3 linked regions of the Canis lupus familiaris genome follow. The protein of the gene in region 1 purifies or fractionates together with the protein of each later gene. This does not show direct contact. Links are inferred from orthologs where the notes say so. Each region holds a gene or a part of one and is shown in the gene's direction. Other genes may lie near its edges.

Region 1 (6,200 bases):
TTATATAGTCTTGTCTGTCAATGGATAGCGAAAAGGTACCAGATAAAAACCAGCAGCTATTCCTTATAAAAATTCTGAGTACAGGGGCACCTGAATGGCTCAATCAGTTAAGCATCTGCCTTTGGCTCAGGTTGTATTCCTGGGGTCCTGGGATTGAGCCCTGCATCGGCAGGGAACCTGCTTCTTCCTCTCCCTCTGCCCTTCTTCCCTGTTCAGGTCAGGCTCTCTGTCTCTCTCAAATAAAATCTTTAAAAAGTTCTAAGTACAAAAGAATAGAAGACAACTTTCTAAATATAGGAAAGAGTTTCAAAAGCCATATGCCAGCATCATGATCAAGTTCTCTCCTATCAATTTCAGGAATAAGGTACAGATGTCCTCTATAGTTTTTTGAAGGTTCTAAAATGTAATAAACCAAGAAAATGAAATAAGTTGTATAAATCTAAAAGGAAAAAAGGAAAAAAAAGGATAATTATTTACAGATGATATGATGATATGCATTGAGAATCCAAGAAATGGGGCAGCCCAGGTGGCTCAGCGGTTTAGCGCCGCCTTCAGCCCAGGGTGTGATCCTGGAGACCCGGGATTGAGTCCCACGTCGGGCTCCCTGCATGGAGCCTGCTTCTCCCTCTGCCTCTGTCTCTGCCTCCCTCTCTCTCTCACTCTGTGTGTCTCTCATGAATAAATAAAATCTTTAAAAAAAAAAGAATCCAAGAAATGCAATTTAAACACTATTAAAACTGAGAAGGCTATATAGTGGACATCTGCTGTTTTGATTTGCCCAGCATTCTTTCTTCCCTGCTTCTAGTAGTAGCACTCCTTTTCATTTGGAGAGCTGTTTCTCTTTCACTGTCCTTTCAATATAGTACTGGTGGGACAGGTAATGATAGTAACTTGCCCCATTGCACCCTCCACAGACCCAGCTCTGCACCTAACCCAGGATGGGCTAATCATAATATCAAACTCTGCTGGACACAATGGCAGCTCCAAAGGGTAGGCATGTGTCCTAGGCCAGAGATACAAGACCTTCCTTGGAATAATACAAATCAGAGGTAAAGAAGTAGCTTTTTCCTTTCTTTGGACATTAAACTGTAAGGATGTGACCCCAAAGCAGTTGGTAACCATGTCTCTATCATGTGAAGGAGTCTTAGAGAATGAGGCAATACAGAAAAGAGAGGTGGAGAGATGACCGAGTTTTATGTTTTTGCTTTTGGTTCCAATCAGGCCCCTGTTAGGCGAGTGGGGTTTCCCATGAAAGGATTGGTCAGATCTGCTGTCAATCAATCATCCTTGAAAACCGTTAAAAGCACCAGAACTCAAGCTTCAGTGGGCAGCACTTTCTTAGGAAAAAGCCCGCGAATTGCTAGCATGCCTAACGGTCGTCGGTGGTCAGTTGTTGTCCGCATTCCTAGCCGTTGGTTTTCTGATGTTAACAGAACGCTGGTAACCACAACAAATCCTGTTGGTCTTGGGGCAGTGCGTTAAAAGCTCCTTAGAGATTATGGAAAGAGGAGGGTATCCTTTAGGAGTTTACTGGCTGTGTGCCTGACTTGGAGCCAAGAGACTTTAAGCCAAGGCTCATCTCTGGCCACTTTAAATTATTTTGTGGTATACTTCTTTTCGTTATTCTCAGACGTTTAAAAGAGATATGTTGCTATAGAAGTTATAGCTTTTATTCACTGGTGATATGGGTAAGTTAGGCAAAAGCATGTCAGAGCCATAGTTACCTGCAGAGAAAATTCTCAGCCAGGTGGTGACCACGGCGTGGAAGAGGGATCCCAACAACCATGGCTCTGTAGTCTGATGAAGAGGCCAATATAGAAGATAGAGACCTGGTTTGGATCATAGTGAGATTGGACTTTGAGACCCTCTGAAATAGCTGGAGGACCCCTTGACCAGGGTCTGTTTGTTGGCCTGGAATCCCCCCCGGGTGGGTGTGGGAGTGGGGTGGGGGGGCACGAGCCATAGTAATTTAAAAGGGCATGGCAGATTTCCAATTTTAGATGTTAGTCTGAACAATTGTGCTTTTTCTCCCAAGTTAGCATTAAATGAAAGAAGAAAACTAAATATTAGACCCGAAACCATAAGGGATAACCGGGAAGGGTGTGATGAGCCAGCCAAAATTGTGAGTATTTTCTTGAAGATATGAAATAGGATGCAATTGATTGAGACCAGAGTCAATGGATCCAGAAAACTAGAGATATGGGAGAGAACTGCTGTTAACCTGAATTCTCTATTTTCTAATGTAGTCCTCCAAAGATGGACCATGTCACAGCCCTCTGAATCAGGGAATGGAAGAGATGATGCAGCCATCTCAGAAGATAATGGTGAGTAAATAAACTAGTAAAAGTCAAATGAGGTGAGGTATCTAACTCTTGATCTCATCTCAGGTCTTGATCTCACAGTTATGAGTTCAAGCCCCACATTAGGCTCCACACTGTTTTGGAGCCTACTTAAAAAAATAGTAACAATAGGGGCAGTCTGGGTGGCTCAGCGGTTTAGCGCAGCCTTCAGCCCAGGGCATGATCCTGGAGACCCCGATCGAGTCCACGTCAGATTCCCTGCATGGAGCCTGCTTCTCCCTCTGCCTGTGTCTCTGTCTCTGTGTCTCTCATGAATAAATAAATAAAATCTTTAAAGAAAAAAATAATAACAATAAAAATTAAAAACTATTATACAATTTTAATACATACAGAAGAATATGTGTGACATATAATTTATAGAGCATAGTAAGAAAACAAACACCCATGAATCCATCACCAAACTAAGAACTAGAACATTTAACAATGCTTTTGAATCTACCTAAGTTCTCCCCTTTGCTTCCCCCAGAGCAATCCCCTACCCTGGATTTTGTTTTGTTTTTTTCCCTTCTATATTTTCTATCCATTGTTTTCCTTAATTTTGAGCTTTACAAAAAAAAATTGTCAATTGCATATATTCTGTAATTATTGCCTTTTTCGTGTAACATTAATTTTGTGATTTATGCATATAGCTGTAATTAATTTTTCACTGTCGTGTAGTATTTCTTTGTGCAAATATACTCCCATTTAGTCATTCTATTAAAGAATATTCTCGGGGATCCCTGGGTGGCGCAGCGGTTTGGCGCCTGCCTTTGGCCCAGGGCGTGATCCTGGAGACCCGGGATCAAATCCCACATCGGGCTCCCGGTGCATAGAGCCTGCTTCTCCCTCTGCCTATGTCTCTGCCTCTCTCTCTCTCTCTCTCTGTCTCTGTGACTATCATAAATAAATAAAAATTAAAAAAAAATTTTAAAGAATATTCTCTTGTCATGTTTTGAGGTCCATATCAAAGTTGATACAGACTAGGAACAGAAAATCTGTAGCATGTTTTGAATCACTTCCTCCCTTAGGCCACCACTAAACAGTCTCCATATATCTATTATTAGTACTTAGTATATTCAAGGGCAAAGGATCAGAAATTTATTTTTTCTGTAAACGATTACATAGGAAATATTTTAGGCTCTTGCTGGCCATATGGCCTGTCCCAACTATTGAACTCTGTTGTTTTAGCACAGAAGCAGCCACAAAAAATATGTAGATGAATGAGTATGGCAGTATTCCAATAAAACTTTCTTATTTTTAAAAGATTTATTTATTTCAGTGAGAGAGTGCACACGTGCAGCGGGGAGGGGCAAAGGGAGAGGGAAACTCAAGCAGACTGCACTGAGCATGGAGCCCAACATGAGGCCTTATATCACTACCCTGAGATCAAACCCGAACTGAAACCAAGAGTCAGACGCTGAACAACTGCACCACCCAGGCACTCCCCCACCCCAATAAAACTTTATTTATAAAAATAGGCAGCTGGCTGGGTTCATTCAACTGACTGCCCTTTCCCAAACTCTGCTTTAGTTTATCTGGTTCCTGTAGCATTGTCCAGTATTGTGGTCACATGTGCACAAGTATTATCTCACTTCTTTCTCATTACCTTATTTCCCATGCTTATCTCTCCTCATACCCACCCCTCCACCTCCCCCCCCCCAGTTCCTGAACTAGTGGCTCAAAGTAAGAATTATCAGTAGCTACCACTCCAACAGCAAGTAGGGGTAAGTCAGGCCTGGTGCTAAGAGGCCTAGGAATTACTGTACCAGATTTTAGACAGAGATGCTGCCTTGATTTCCCTCAATACTCTAGGGGTTTTGGTTAGGACAAACTATTCCCTGAGAACGAGTTTCCTTGAAGATAGTAAGTATGTCTTAGTCTTTCTCACCTTCAGGATTTAAACCTGCGCCCTGTTTTCCTTCTTTGGGCCCCTTGCCCCCTCCCACTCTTCTTGCCTGGCTAATTCCCACTTACCCTCACAGATTTAAATTGAATTACTTTCTCTGGAAGCTATTATTTTCTCTGGAAGCTTTTTGTAACTCCCCACCTCCACCTTTTCTCTACTCCACCCCACCTTCCTAGGCTGTGCAGGTGTCTCTCTGTGTTCCTACAGCAGCTTTTATCACTCTGTCCTCTAATTGTCTGCCTCACCCACTAGGCCAATTGGGAACTGTTTGAGGGCAAGGGTTGTCTTTGTATACTCAGGGACTGGATCATAAGAGGTCCTCAGGCAAGGCTTGTTTAGTGTTTGTCAGGATTTGGCTAGGAGAGGGAGCTGGTTTCTACCTCTGGTGAAGATCAGCCGTTGATTGAGGGTCCAGCCAAAGAATGGACTAATTCTGATTCTCTAAAACCAAATTGTTGTCTCCTTGAATGTGCATTGCTTGCTGCCGCGTCCTGCCTGAACTGAATCCAAGCTTGGTCTCCTATTAGGCACTATGATTTGGCTCATCACAATAAAGGAGTAGTTTTTTTATTTCTTTTTTTTTTCCCTCTTGGTGAGTGGGGCTCTGAAAGTCTTTTCCTAACTTATCTATTACTTGAGACAATTTTGTGGCATGTCTTCTGCTTAAACTGGAAATTATGAGAAATACCATATTTGAGTTTAGAGAAAAAGTGGGTTTGGTTTATGTCTGTGGGCTTCATGTTTTTGGCAAGTCATTTTAACCTCCTTCCCTGAGCCTGTTTCTCATCTGTAAAATGGGGATGGCACCTGACCTATCTCATAGTGTGGTTATGAGGATAAAATAAGATTGTATGTGAAAGTGTTTTGAAAAACTATAAAATCAACCACAAATGGAATTTTGTATTAGTTCTGTATTCCCTTATGACATCTAGCACCATGCCTTGCCCAGAGTAGTTGCTCAATACATTTTTGTTGAGTGACCAAATGAATTGGCAAGAAAAATAATGCTATTGGTGGGAATAAAGGACATTTAATGGAATCAGGAAAAACAGATCACTTGACAATAGAAACATCCATATGGTGACTAATTCAGAGTTGGGCATTTATGTATAGCCCCAAATCTACATTCCTGATGTCTGGTCTTTGTTTTGCTTATAAAAATATTTAAATTTCTCTGAATAAGCTTTTGGCTGCTGAGATAAACTTAGCCAGATCTTAAATATGCAGCCATCACAAAGTAGGATTGGCCCCAGGCAATACTGTGAAGTCAGCAAGAGGTACTCTCAGAACTCTTTCCTCCCTTGATGTAACTTTACCCCCCTACCACACCCCCCATTGCAATGCCTAGTCCTAGTTCTGTTTACCTCCAGGCACTTAGGACTTTTGTATTATCCTTTGTTCCCAAGAAGCATTCACCTTAAAGGGTCAGGAACTGAGTCTCTCTGGCTAATTTGCATTTGAAAAAAGGATTCCTAGAGAAGGAGACTATTTTTATCAAAAGGAATGAATAAATAATTGTGAAATTTCAGGCTTTAAAGAGTACAAGGGCTTATCAGCCTCATTCAAATCTTGATGGTACTTAGTTCACCTACAGCTGTGGTCTCAATCTTGAAGGTAAGTAGATTCACCCTGAGAGCTTCTTAGAAATAATGGTAATGGAGTCACTACTCACAGAGATTCCAATTCAGTTGGACTAGTTTGAAACCTGGGCAAAGGTGTTTTTTTTTTTTCTTCTAAGTCCCCAGGTAATTCTGTTGTTTATTTGGAGTTGGGAGCCACTGATTTAAACCTAAAACGGCCTTGCTTTTGAGAAAAAGAAAAGCTGAATGCCATTGGAAGATCAAATCTTAAAGCAGGGTGGGAGGGACAGTGAGAGTCATTGATAAAGTGAAGGGAAGGTTAAAAATAGGTCCAGCAACTCCACAATAAGCAAGTGCTTGGCAGCACCAAAGAAA
Region 2 (6,186 bases), on another chromosome or scaffold:
TATGTGAATGTATGTGTATACATAGATAAATGTATGCACATATACATACATATGTATGTACACGTATATATATGCAGTATACACATATAATATATATGCATATATTCATATATGTAGAAAACAGAAAGAGAGTACATGAGAGGGCAAGTGAGCTCCTGGTAGAAAATAATCAATTAACTATAGCTGCAGCTATTTTCTTTTTAAAATTTTATTTATTTGAGAGAGAGAATGAGCGATGGCGGGGGGGGGGGTGAGAGGGAGAGGGACAAGCAGAGCCCAATGTGGGGCTCGATGCCAGCACCCTGAGATCACAACCTGAACCAAAGTCAGACCCGACTGAGCCACCTAGGCATCCCCCAGCTCTTATTAATATTCTTTATCCTATCATCCATTCCTCACCAACAAAAGTTCATTCTGCCAACAAATATTTACCATCTACTATGTGTCAAAGACTGCTAGGAGCCACAGACAAATCACCCACACTTCTCTGTTGGTATTTTTAAGAGCCTCTGTGATATTGCCAGCAGAGAGCAAGAGTTTAAAATGGGAATTCTGGATTCAAAGAATCTGGATTTGAATCCCAACTGTATCTCTTCCTAGCTATGCAACTTGTGAGGACAGAACTTACCCCTCATGGTAAGTGTTCCATACATGTTAGTTATTATTCAGTTTAATTGAGCCAGTGACCTTAGCCAGGTTTCAGCCTGAGCCTGGAGAGCTATGGAGAGAGAATCTCAAAGCTTCCTTCTAGTCCCAAAGTTTATGATATTTTATATGCAGTGGAACATCTATGGGGGGAGAGATCAGGAAGATGACCCACAGTTACAAGAGAAAAACATTTCACAAAGCTGAATTCAAGTAGGTTCTAACTCCTCCAAATGGGAAGAAATCACCCTTTGGGAGCTCACAGACTAATTTATACACTTGATGTGAGCAGAAGCAGAAAAAACAAGCAACTCGTGGAGTGATAAACACGGAACAAGCGCTATGGATGCTAAATATGTCTAGTCCTTCCTGAGAGTGGGTGCTGCCTGGTTCTCACTGGAGGGACAGGGAGTCTTCAAAAAGCTCAGACTCTGAAGTAATGCAGATCTAGGTTTGAATCCCAGTTTGGTTCCTTGTCAGCTATGTGACCCTGGGCAAGTTGCTTTTAATCTTTTTGTGCCTTAGCTTTCTCTTCTGCAAAACCCAGTAAGAGTATCTAACAAACTGTACTTCATATAGCGGTGACACAGTAAATGCTAAATAAAAGCTAATTATCGTTATCTGACAAGTGGCACCCACCCTATGGGTGAGTGACAAGTTTCCATTCTCAGTAGATGATGACAGTATCTTCTTTTTCTGACTTGAGGCGCCTCATGGGTGGGGCCTGGTCTCTGCCTTCAGAAGTTGGGCAAGATGCCTCCTCCCTTGTCACCTTGGGAACTTCCTTAGAGAGGACGGTGTCTCCTCCATCAGACTTGGCACTCCGCTAGGCTGGAACTGCCTCTTCCTTCGAGGCGGGAAACAGCAGTGCTTCCACCGTTAGTCCCAGATGGACCCCGTCTCTCTCTCTCGGTCAGGCTGAGAGTTTCCAGAGTGTGTGTGGCTGGCTCCCGTCCAAGCCACTTGGTTGTAGGACTGATTACCTTTTATCCGCCTCCTTCAGGCCCAGGAGCAAGAGTGAGGAATGTGCCATTTCAGCAGCCCCCCAGGGCAGGAAGAAGTAAGATGAAGCTCGGCTCTGGGGGATGGGAGGGAGGCACTGGGGCCCCAGTCTGAAAAGTCTCTGTGGAGCTCTTAGGAGACTCCGTCGGGCTCTGAGGGGCAATGGGTGAGTGTGATGGGTGTCCCAGAAACCACATGAGGGAGCATTTTCCTTGGATGTGGGGTGGGAGGTGCGTCAGGGTAACTAATGGCAACTGGGCGGGGTGAGCCCACGCGGCAGGAGCTCTTCCACGGAGAAAAACTACGACTCCCAGGATGCCTTGGGGCTTAGTCCGGCTTTCCCGCCTGCCCACTGGCTGCCGGTCCGGTTAGCGCAGGAGCGGATTGGTCGCGGCGGTGCGGGGCTCCCCCACTAGCAGGTTAGTAGGCACCGCCGGCAGCAGACGTTGACCGGGCGCGCGGGGCGGGGGAGGGGCCCGGCTAGCCATTCTGGAAGCCGCCGGACGCCGTCTCCGTAGCGTAGCCGCCGGCTGTGAGGCGCGGGGCGGGGGCGGAGACTGCGTGGCGCAGGCGCGGTGCCGGGCTTCTCCTGGGTCCCCAGACAGCTGGAGGAGATAAACAGAGGAGGAGGAGGGAGGGGAGTGCGTGTGTGAGAGCGCGCGAGGGAGTGTGAGTGTGTGTGAGCGCGGGTGTGAGGCGGTGCGCAGGGGCGGGCGGAGGCGCTGTCCGGCCCCGGCCAGGCGCCGGGCGGGGAGCATGGGAAGGGGCTAGAGCTGCCCGGGCCCCCAGCCCCCTCCCCGGGATCCGCGCCCCCCCCCTCCCGGGAGAGGGGCCGGGCCCCCCGGACGGACATGGGCTCCTGAAGTTGCGCCGCCGCCGGTCCTGGGAAGAGGCCTGACAGGTACCGGTAGCCACCGCCCCCTGCCCTCGCCGGGCGCCGGAGCGAAAACCGGCTCCCGCAGTCCCAGCACACGGGCCGCCCGCTCTGGGCCGCCCGCAGCCCTGCCGGCCCCGGGGCCTGAGGCCGCCAGCCTCGGGGCTCAGGGGTGTCCCGAGAGGGGGCAGGCCTCGCTGGGGCGAAGGGCAGAGTGGGCCGGGGGCGGAGTGGGATGGAGGGTTGGCCGGGACGTGGGTGGGGGGGGAGGCTCTGGGAATCCAGGGAGACTCTGCCAGCGGAGAGGTGGAAGTCGTCCCATCACGGGACTTTTTTTGCGGAGTTTTTGTTTGACATCTGATCTGGCGCCGGTCTCAGGAAGAAGGGGGCAGGTGGAAATGCCGGGAGGGCTACGTTGACCTGACCTGCTCTCTTAGTTTCCTGCTCTCCTGCTCTCGCTCTGTCTCGCTCGCTCTCGCTCTCGCGCTCTCTCTCTCTTGCCCTCCCGCTCGCTCTCTCTGAGAGAGTGTGTGTGTCCGTGTGTCCGTCCGTGGTCAGGCTTTTTGCAGCCGCAGATGCCTTCAGTGGCCCATCCTGGCACCAAGCTGAACTCTGCCAAGGTGTTCCCTCCGGGCGACTGTAACGCCCTTACAGAGGGCCTTTACTTGGGTACCAGCTATTCAGTACCCACTTCAAAGGGAAATAGGAAGTGTGGAATAGAAGAGAGACTGTGAACCGACCAGCGGGATCCAATTCTTGTCACTGAAAGCTGCAGTGGGACGCCCCCTTGCCAGCCAGGTTGAATTTGCTTAGTGACCTCTGACTCTCCTCTGCAGGTGTACCACCAGGGTCTCTAAGAAAAGAGGTATCAAGACTTATGACTAAAGTCTAACTGCCTAATTTGACTATTTTCCTCAAAGTCCTTTTCTTCTGTGACTATTTTTTTAACTTCCTGAGGTAGTGGTAGAGCAACTTTAAAGTTTTCCTCTTAAGTTTATGAGTTTAGAAACCTGATAGGGTGTCTGTAACTTCCCCATTCTTCCCAAGGATGCGGTAGATGATCAGTGTAAAGTGGCAGTTAAGTGTTCCCTTTTAACAAAGTCTGAAACGGTTTTGAGAAGGTGACGATTCAGAGGACACCAACTGACTCAAAGATATTAGGAAGTCTCTGCCTAGGGCACAGTTCTGTCCAGTGGTCTGAACCAAGCTTTTTCTGTACCTTACAGTCCCTCCTGAGTGGCTAGTGTCTTCACTAAGTGAGGGAACTACTTAAGGCTATTTCTGGTTTGAGTTCTGGCTTATTCTTCCTTGTAATTCTTATATTTTTAAAGAGATTGAATTGAATCTTGTCTGTTGAGTATGATAATTGGATCCTCTAGCACAGACTAGGGAGTAACTAGAAAGGCTCATTTGGGCTGACTCTGAGACTTAACAATGAAGCTTCATTGCAGGTTGTTGTAGTTCATTGGCAGGTGGGAAGCAGCCTTTTCTGCCATAGTTTATGATCCTGCTGCTTTAATACTGGGATATTTTTATCTATTTGGGGGCACTTATGATCAACCCACATCTCAATTTGTAGTGCTTTGGGTCAACTCTGAAGAATAATTGGACAACAATCCATAGTTCTGCCTGAGACTCCTTCCCTTGGACTTACTAAAAGAAAGAGAGTATGTGTGATGATTATGGTGATGATATTAACATTGGCGATTTGCCACCTGTGGGTTTTAGAATTGTCATGCACTGACAAATTTTCTAGCTAGAAGAAACTCAGTAGTGACTCATGGGACATCATATTAGGTTCTTTTTTCACACACCTAGGCTTTAGGACCTGAAAGGATACAACTGAAGATCTTAAAGCCCTCTGTTAAACGTCTTTGGATTTTGAGGGACCAAATGCTGCAAAGACCCAGAACTGTGACTTTAATAATTTTTAAAATTTTCTCTAATTATTTTCTTCTCTCCTTTTTGTATTAGGGAATGTTGTCCACATGTGCAGTCCTGGGTCTCAAAGAGGGAATCATAGACAACATGTAGTATGGTGATACTTACCTTTCTTTTGGGTCACTGATTCCTTTCCACTGCTTCTTTGGGCTGCCATTGCAGAGGGACTCACATAACTTCTTAGGCTTTAAAAACACAAGCCCTGACAGTTTCCATCAGAAAACAATCCCTTGGTGTTAATATTTAATTATGGCTACTTACTTTGAGAGATATTTACTAATTAGAATACATTCTTAAAAGTGACTCTGGCATTTATTGAGAGCTTGGTATATGTTGGGCTGTGTGCTAAGTGGTGTTTTACTTTATCTAGCTTAGCCCTCATTACTGTCCTATATGAGGCAAAAATCATCTTCCCTGTTATACATATGAAGATACAAGTACAGAGAGGTTAAATAACTTGCTTAAGGCCACATAGCAAATAAGGGAAAGCATCTAACAAATGGCTGGCACACAGTAAGTATGCAATAAAGGTTAGTTTTTTACAGATCAAAATGACAGGAATTTGACATCATTTCCATATAAAAACAGGGTGTAAGGACACCTGAGTGGCTCAGCAGTTGAGCTTCTGCCTTCTGCTCTGGGCATGATCCTGGGGTCCGGGGATCATGTCCTGCATCAGGCTCCTGCAGGGAGCCTGCTTCTCCCTCTGCCTGTCTCTACCTCTCTCTCTCTCTCTCTCTCTCTCTCTCATGAATAAATAAATAAAATCTTTAAAAAAACAAAACAGGATTTAAAATACTGAAAGACGGGAGCCTGGGCAGCTCAGTGATTGAACTTCTCCCTTTGGCTCAGACAGTGATCCTCAGGTCCTGGGATCAAGCAGCCCATTAGACTTCATGTGTCTCCTTTTGGGCTATGACACATGAAGAGCTGGAAGGACCAAAACTGAGATCCTGGGAGAACACAATATGTGCCTTCAAGTATTTAACTGTCCTGTAGAAAGAGAACTGGACTTTCTTTGTGTGATTCTGGAAGGTAGCACAAGGATCAAGGGATGGAAATTCCAAGAGGGGTTGGCTTGATAGGAGAGAATTTGGCTCTATAAAAGTAAAATGGGCCACCTTGTGAAGGAAGGAGTTATCCATCATCATAGGCATTCAAGCAGAGGCATTGCCACTTCTTACAATGATTTGGTAGAGGAGTTCATACTTATGTAAGTAATTGGACTATAAGTAGTCTTTCAGTATTTTAATTTTTTAAGATTTTTTTAAAATTTATTCATCAGAGTTGCAGAGGGAGAGTCCCACAGGGAGCCTGATGCGTTGCTTGATCCCAAGACCCCAGGATCACTACCTGAGCCAAAGGGAGAAGTTCAATCACTGAGCTGCCCAGGCTCCCGTCTTTCGGTATTTTAAACCCTGTTTTGTTTTTTTAAAGATTTTATTTATTTATTCATGAGAGACAGAGAGAGAGAGAGGTAGAGACAGGCAGAGGGAGAAGCAGGCTCCCTGCAGGACATGATCCCCGGGACCTCAGGATCATGCCCAGAGCAGAAGGCAGAAGCTCAACTGCTGAGCCACTCAGGTGTCCCTACACCCTGTTTTTATATGGAAATGATGTCAAACTCCTGTCGTTTTGATCTGTAAAAAACTAACCTTTATTGCATACTTACTGTGTGCCAGCCATTTGTTAGATGCTTTCCCTACAATATTTACCCTCAGATC
Region 3 (6,121 bases), on another chromosome or scaffold:
ATCTGCCAAAGCTTTCAATCATAGTTTTCCTTTTAAATGATCAAACCGCTGGGAAGTTGATCCCACTGAATCTTTCTTTGCCCAATATTTTAGGCAGCTGTTATTACAATTTAATAATTTTAAATCTTGCTCGTCAAATTTATGTCAAAGGGTCTTAGAATCATTTTGCCCCTCAGTCCTCTTCTTTGTGTGATGGATGAAACTTGGATGCTTTATTTCTCCAAAATATCTCCACTTCTGCAAGATATTTCTGTACCTTCATTTTATTTTATTTTATTTTATTTTATTTTATTTTATTTTTTACAGAGAAAGAGCATGAGGTGGGGGGGCGGGGCAAGAGAGGGAGAGAGAATCTCATGCAGATTTCCCGCTGAGCGAGGAGCCCAACGCAGGGCTCTATCTCACGATCATGACCTGAGCCAAAACCAAGAGTCAGATGCTCAACCAACTGAGCTGCGCAGGCACCCCTGTGTACATTCCTACTTAATGTTGCCAATTCTTTGAGTTTTATAGTGGTTTATCTTTATATTCCATCCAAAGCATTATTACATACAGTCATTGCCACGTGGGAACAGTGTTGATTCTGTAAAAATAATCAGTGATGCTGTCGCTATCTCGAAATTCTTAATAATGTTACCTTTGAGCATGTTTGGAGAGTGAAGCCCATAGGGACGACAGAGCATTTGCATGTGAGCCAGAGCTGGTCGAGCATGAACATAAAGTGCATGAAAAATAGTTGTTAGTTTTGTGCAGCATTTCCACGATTTTAATAAGAACAACATACAAGCGCATCTATGAGCTATGAAACACGAACTGCGTGATTTCTCGGATTCCCCAGTGGGGTTCGACGCACTTACATCTCAATTTAAACCTGGCGGCGCACCATGTGAAGATGGATGCTAAGATTCACAGCAATCGTTTAAATTTTTAATTTTTCTTTACTTAGAGTCTTACTAAATAGCAGAAAGTACCAGGAAAAGGTGAGGTACACTCCAGTCGGAGGAGAAAGCTTTGCATGATATGACCCCTAGCGTCCCCTCCCATTTTTTCAACCAGGGTCCTGCATTTGCCACTTGCTCTGGGCCTGCAGACTGTGCAGTCGGACCTGCGGACTGTGCAGCCGTGTCTGCAGACTATACAGCGGGGGCTTCAGACTGTACACTCGGGCCTTCAGACCGCGCAGCCGGGGCTGCGGACTGTGCAGCTGGACCTGCGGACTGTGCAGCCGGGTCTGCGGACTATACAGCTGGGCCTTCGGACTGTGCAGCCGGGCCTGCGGACTGTACAGTCGGGCCTTCAGACTGCACAGCCGGGGCTGTGGACTGTGCAGCCAGACCTGCGGACTGTACAGCCGGACATGCAGACTGTGCAGCCGAGCCTTCAGACTGTGCAGCTGGACCTGCGGACTGTGCAGCCGAGCCTTCAGACTGTGCAGCTGGACCTGCGGACTGTACAGCCGGACATGCAGACTGTGCAGCGGGGCCTTCAGACTGTGCAGCCGGGCCTGCGGACTGTGCAGCCGTGTCTGCAGACTGTGCAGCGGGGCCTTCAGACTGCACAGCCGGGCCTGCGGACTCTGTAGCCGGGCCTGCAGACTGTGCAGCGGGCCCTGCGGACTGTGCAGCCGGACCTGCGGACTCTATAGCCGGACCTGAGGACTGTGCAGCCGGGCCTGCAGCAGGACGCGAACAGAAGCCTCCGGGCCCGCGGTGACCCGAAGGGCAACCCAACAGCAAGTCACTGCAGACAGCGCCGCAGAGCATCCGCCGGCGAGGACCCCCCCCCACCCCGCCCCCCAGGCGCCTCCGCAGCAGGCCAGGGTCCCCAGCCCCGGGGAGCGGCCCAGCCTGGCGGGCTGCACGGTGCAAGCCCGCACCGGACCCGTTTCAGAGCTCAGGAGCCTGGGGGTGCAGGCGGGGCGCGTGTGGGCGACCCCAGCCTCCCGCGACCTCCCGCGGTCGAGGCACCAGGCCGGGGCCGCTCCTCGCAGTGCGCATGCGTGTCAGGCCGCGCCGCGCACACCCCGCCCCTCCCGCCTCCGGCCGCGCGCTCGGGAAGCCGCTTCCCGCGAGGCCGCGCGGGTCCTCCAGAGCACCGAGAGCGCCGGCCAGCGCGGCGGCGACGACGCGCCGGAAGCGACGGCGCAGCTGCGCCTGGGCGCTCGGCGGCGGCGGCGGCGGCGGCGGCCGCCTACGTCATCGCGGGCGCGACGGCCCGAGGGACAGTCGTGGGTCGGCTCTGGCGAGGGTGCGGCGGCGGGACCGGCCGGGAAGATGCCAGTGGCGGTGATGGCGGAAGGCGCCTTCAGTTTCAAGAAGCTGCTGGATCAGTGCGAGAACCAGGAGCTCGAGGTGGCGGCTGGCGGCGCGCTGGCAGGGGGCCCCCGGGGCGGTGCCGGTCTCCAGGGTAACGGGGCCGGCGGGGCGCCGGGGACGCGGGGGTGCGCCCCGGGGGCTCCCTTTCCTTGTTTGCAGCTATTTAAGATTTTATTTAAGGTTTTGTTTATTTATTCATGAGAGAAAGAGGGAGAGAGAGAGGCAGAGACACAGGCAGAGGGAGAAGCGGGCTCCATGCAGGGAGCCCGGGGCAGGACTCGAACCCAGGACCCTGGGGTCACGCCCTGAGCGGAAGGCAGATGCTCAGCCGCTGAGCCCCCCCCCCCCCCCAGGCGTCCTCAGTTTACATATTCTTGTCCTTACGGAGACACAGAAGTTTGGAGGGACCTAGAAATCACAGGCGACGGCAGATCTGAACTCAACAGTGCGATTTTTAGTGTTTTGTCTCTTCTCGGAGCACTTTCTACATCTGCAGTTCTAAGTACTATAGGGTTTATCTTTTACGTTGGTGTTAATAAAATCCTTTTTTTTTTTTTTTTAAGTGTAAGCGTAAATAAGGTATTTTTCTTTTTTCTTTTTTTTTTTTTTTTTTTTGGCCTTACAGGCTCCTGGAGGAATTGCCACTCCCCCCGTGTACGGTCAGCTCTTAGCTTTATATCTGCTCCACAATGACATGTAAGTACTTTTCTACCCAAAGCCGAGAGCAGTGGCTTCCTGAGGATTGTACAGAAATTACGCTTCGCGTTGGGAAGACATCAGCGAAACCCTAAGGCGCAAGGAGCTCTGTGCCTTTTATCATAATACTTAATGCACCTGTTTCATGTGTTACCGGATAGTGCCTAGGCCCAGTCGTTTTAAAATACACTTGTTTTATGTATATTCTCTAAAAGCACATTCTAATTTGTTGTGAGAAACAGCAGTGTCAATAAAGTCCTTTAATTCTGTTGACCTTTTTTGGTTTTGCTTTTTTTTTTTTTGAGATTTTATTTATTTATTATGATGTTTCTTTTTTTTTAATTTTTTATTTATTTATGATAGGCACACAGTGACAGAGAGAGAGGGAGAGGCAGAGACACAGGCAGAGGGAGAAGCAGGCTCCATGCCAGGAGCCTGATGCAGGATGCAATCCCGGGACTCCAGGATCACACCCTGGGCTGCAGGCGGCGCTAAACCGCTGCACCACCCAGGGATCCCGAGATTTTATTTATTAATGAGAGGCAGAGACACAGGCAGAGGGAGAAGCAGGCTCCATGCGGGGAGCCCAACGTGCAGCTCAATCCCAGGTCTCCAGGATCAGTCCCTGGGCTGAATGTGGCACTAAACCGCTGAGCCACCCGGGCTGCTGGACCTTTCTTGTTTTTATAAAACCTCCATGGGCTCCTGTTAATTTCATATGTAATCAGTCAATCCAGAGAAACTGAAAGGGAAGATAGAGAAGGTCGAGAGGAATTTGTTTAATGACATGTATGAGATCCTTTGAAAGGTGTTGTTTTTAGTTATTCCTAATTTGTGCTCGTTGAAGAAAAGTCAGGAAGCATAAGCGCACAGGAGTCCCTCTGGTGCTGCAAGTCGTCAGTAATTACTGTTAAGTGTTGTTTTAAATTCTATTCAAGCTCTTTGTTTCATATCTTTTAAAAAGTAGCCTCTGATTTCTGTTAGACGTATACCCATGAGCTGTCGATTTCATTTTCATGATCCTGACATATGTTTGTTGTAGTTCAAGCTTTCAAACTCTTGAAGTTTTGGTGGCTCTGCACTTGTTGGTCAGAGGAGGGTTCATGATAAGGAGGAAAGCATGTGTATCACATACGTTGTCAGGGAACTCCAGAGCCTTGAAAGTATAGAGATTTGCCTATTTTTATCTATGAAGAAATGACCTACTTCAGTGTTTGTGTTTTTAGCATACCATTACCTTAATTTAAGGTCTAGATCATAAATTAAAAATGCACTATAAAGATGGCAAAATATTACTTTGTAAAAGTATTTTATTACTTTTTATCTGAAAAGCTACTCTTCCCCTGGACAAATTCATATAAAACTAAATTTGACTCCATAAGATACAGAGTATTTTAAACTATACTTTTGTGTGTTTGCAGTAAGATCTAAAATTTTAAACATTTACCGAAGTGATTTTTTTTAATTGCTTATTGTTTTTTTTTGGGGGGGGGGATGTAAATTAGGAATAATGCAAGATATCTTTGGAAGAGGATACCACCTGCTATAAAGTCTGTAAGTATTCTTCAATATTTCCTACTACTTGAATGTAGTAACTGCTTTCATTTAAATGGCAACATTGTAAACTTTTTAAAGTTTCTGTTTTCTTTACTATGGTTCACAGAAATAGTTATTAAACTGGTATTAAAGTTTAGGGACAGATCTGCACGTTTCCTCTAATCAGAAATTTAATTTCCCTTGGATAGTTCTAGAAATCTGTCTTCAGCTTCTTTTGATCACGTTAAGACACTTCATGTTAAGTGCCACTTTGCCTGGCAAACAACAGATATTTTACATAAAGGTTTGGTTTGGGTTTTGTTTTGCTTTTTTAACTGATTTGTGCAGTAATGGTATTTACTTTGAAATTGGTGTTATTTACAAGTATATCCTAAGAATGATTTTCACAGCATTAAGATTATTTTTGGTAATTAGGATTTTTGATTTCTTAGTTTGGATGGGAGATTAGATGAAATAACCTCTTAAAATTTTCTTCCAAAATGGAATGAAATACATTTTTAATTTTATGGGATTCATTGTTTCTAGAATAAGTACAAAGTGAATTTTTTAAACACAGAATATTCACAGAATATTATCAAGAATTCACTTGAATTCTTCTGTTCATTATTGGTATTTAGCAGCAATTCATTTAGCATTTTTACTGTCTGTCTTCTCCATTCTATTATATAAGATTGGCTTATTCCTCCAGCTTCATTGACTTAAAATAAAGAACTGTAAATTACACTCATAGTTTCAGTGACGTTCGTGGGAATTCGGTCCTGGGAGAGGCTACAGTGTATGACATTGATAGTCTTTACTATTTGTCATTTTGCTATTACTTTTGACAAAAAAACATGCATATGTATTTTACATGGGTGTATCTTTGAATATCTATATGATATTTATAGCATTTATGTATATATGAAATACAAGTACATTTTGAAGAATTGTTCAAGAAAGTTAATTCCCAGACTTAGTTCTGAAATATTTTTGGACAAGTGTTTTATGCTCTAATTTTCTCTTAGAATTTATATAAACCATACAAATAAATTTTGCATTACTGTCCACAGCACTTAAAAACCTTTTTGATAGTGATTGGGCTGAAGAAGCAATTATACCCCTTAAAAGAAATGTTGAGTTATGTTTTAAGATACAGTTGTTGGTAAAACTCCAAAGTGAATATACTCAAAGACAGTAATATTTATTGCAGGCAAATTCTGAACTTGGGGGAATTTGGTCAGTAGGACAGAGAATCTGGCAGAGAGATTTCCCTGGGATCTATACGACCATCAACGCACACCAGTGGTCTGAGACGGTCCAGCCAATCATGGAAGCACTTAGAGGTAGTGTTTCTTCGTGGTTAAGAATTAGATTAGACCTGTTCTCTAAGTGCTGTGATGTTGAAGTAAGTTAGCAGTGTGTTTTAAAAATACATATATTTCCTGCTAGGTGAATACAGCAGCTTTCAAAATTCTTTTGTAAGGATTTGCTATAATCGTTCTTCTTCATTTCATCCTGCTTGACATTTTATCAGCAGCTAAGGGCTTCACTGTCTCTTAACTTAATTCTAGATT

What was found.
Region 2: the proteins of CUL4B (region 1) and WDTC1 purify together in Homo sapiens (affinity purification with mass spectrometry; 4 studies listed by BioGRID and IntAct, counting the BioPlex papers as one, with this or other methods). This does not show direct contact. The link is inferred for Canis lupus familiaris from reciprocal best matches to the Homo sapiens genes CUL4B and WDTC1.
Region 3: the proteins of CUL4B (region 1) and COPS8 purify together in Homo sapiens (affinity purification with mass spectrometry; 7 studies listed by BioGRID and IntAct, counting the BioPlex papers as one, with this or other methods). This does not show direct contact. The link is inferred for Canis lupus familiaris from reciprocal best matches to the Homo sapiens genes CUL4B and COPS8.

What each region holds. Positions count from the first base shown.
Region 1 is NC_049260.1:93,266,462-93,272,661, reverse strand, and holds the start of CUL4B (cullin-4B), read left to right. Parts: upstream 1-2,137; 5' UTR 2,138-2,152; coding exon 2,153-2,324; intron 2,325-6,200.
Region 2 is NC_049223.1:72,403,846-72,410,031, reverse strand, and holds the start of WDTC1 (WD and tetratricopeptide repeats protein 1), read left to right. Parts: upstream 1-2,249; 5' UTR 2,250-2,548; intron 2,549-6,186. UniProt on the Homo sapiens protein: May function as a substrate receptor for CUL4-DDB1 E3 ubiquitin-protein ligase complex.
Region 3 is NC_049246.1:48,062,922-48,069,042, forward strand, and holds the start of COPS8 (COP9 signalosome complex subunit 8), read left to right. Parts: upstream 1-2,184; 5' UTR 2,185-2,273; coding exon 2,274-2,351; intron 2,352-2,940; coding exon 2,941-3,011; intron 3,012-4,516; coding exon 4,517-4,565; intron 4,566-5,757; coding exon 5,758-5,890; intron 5,891-6,121. UniProt on the Homo sapiens protein: Component of the COP9 signalosome complex (CSN), a complex involved in various cellular and developmental processes.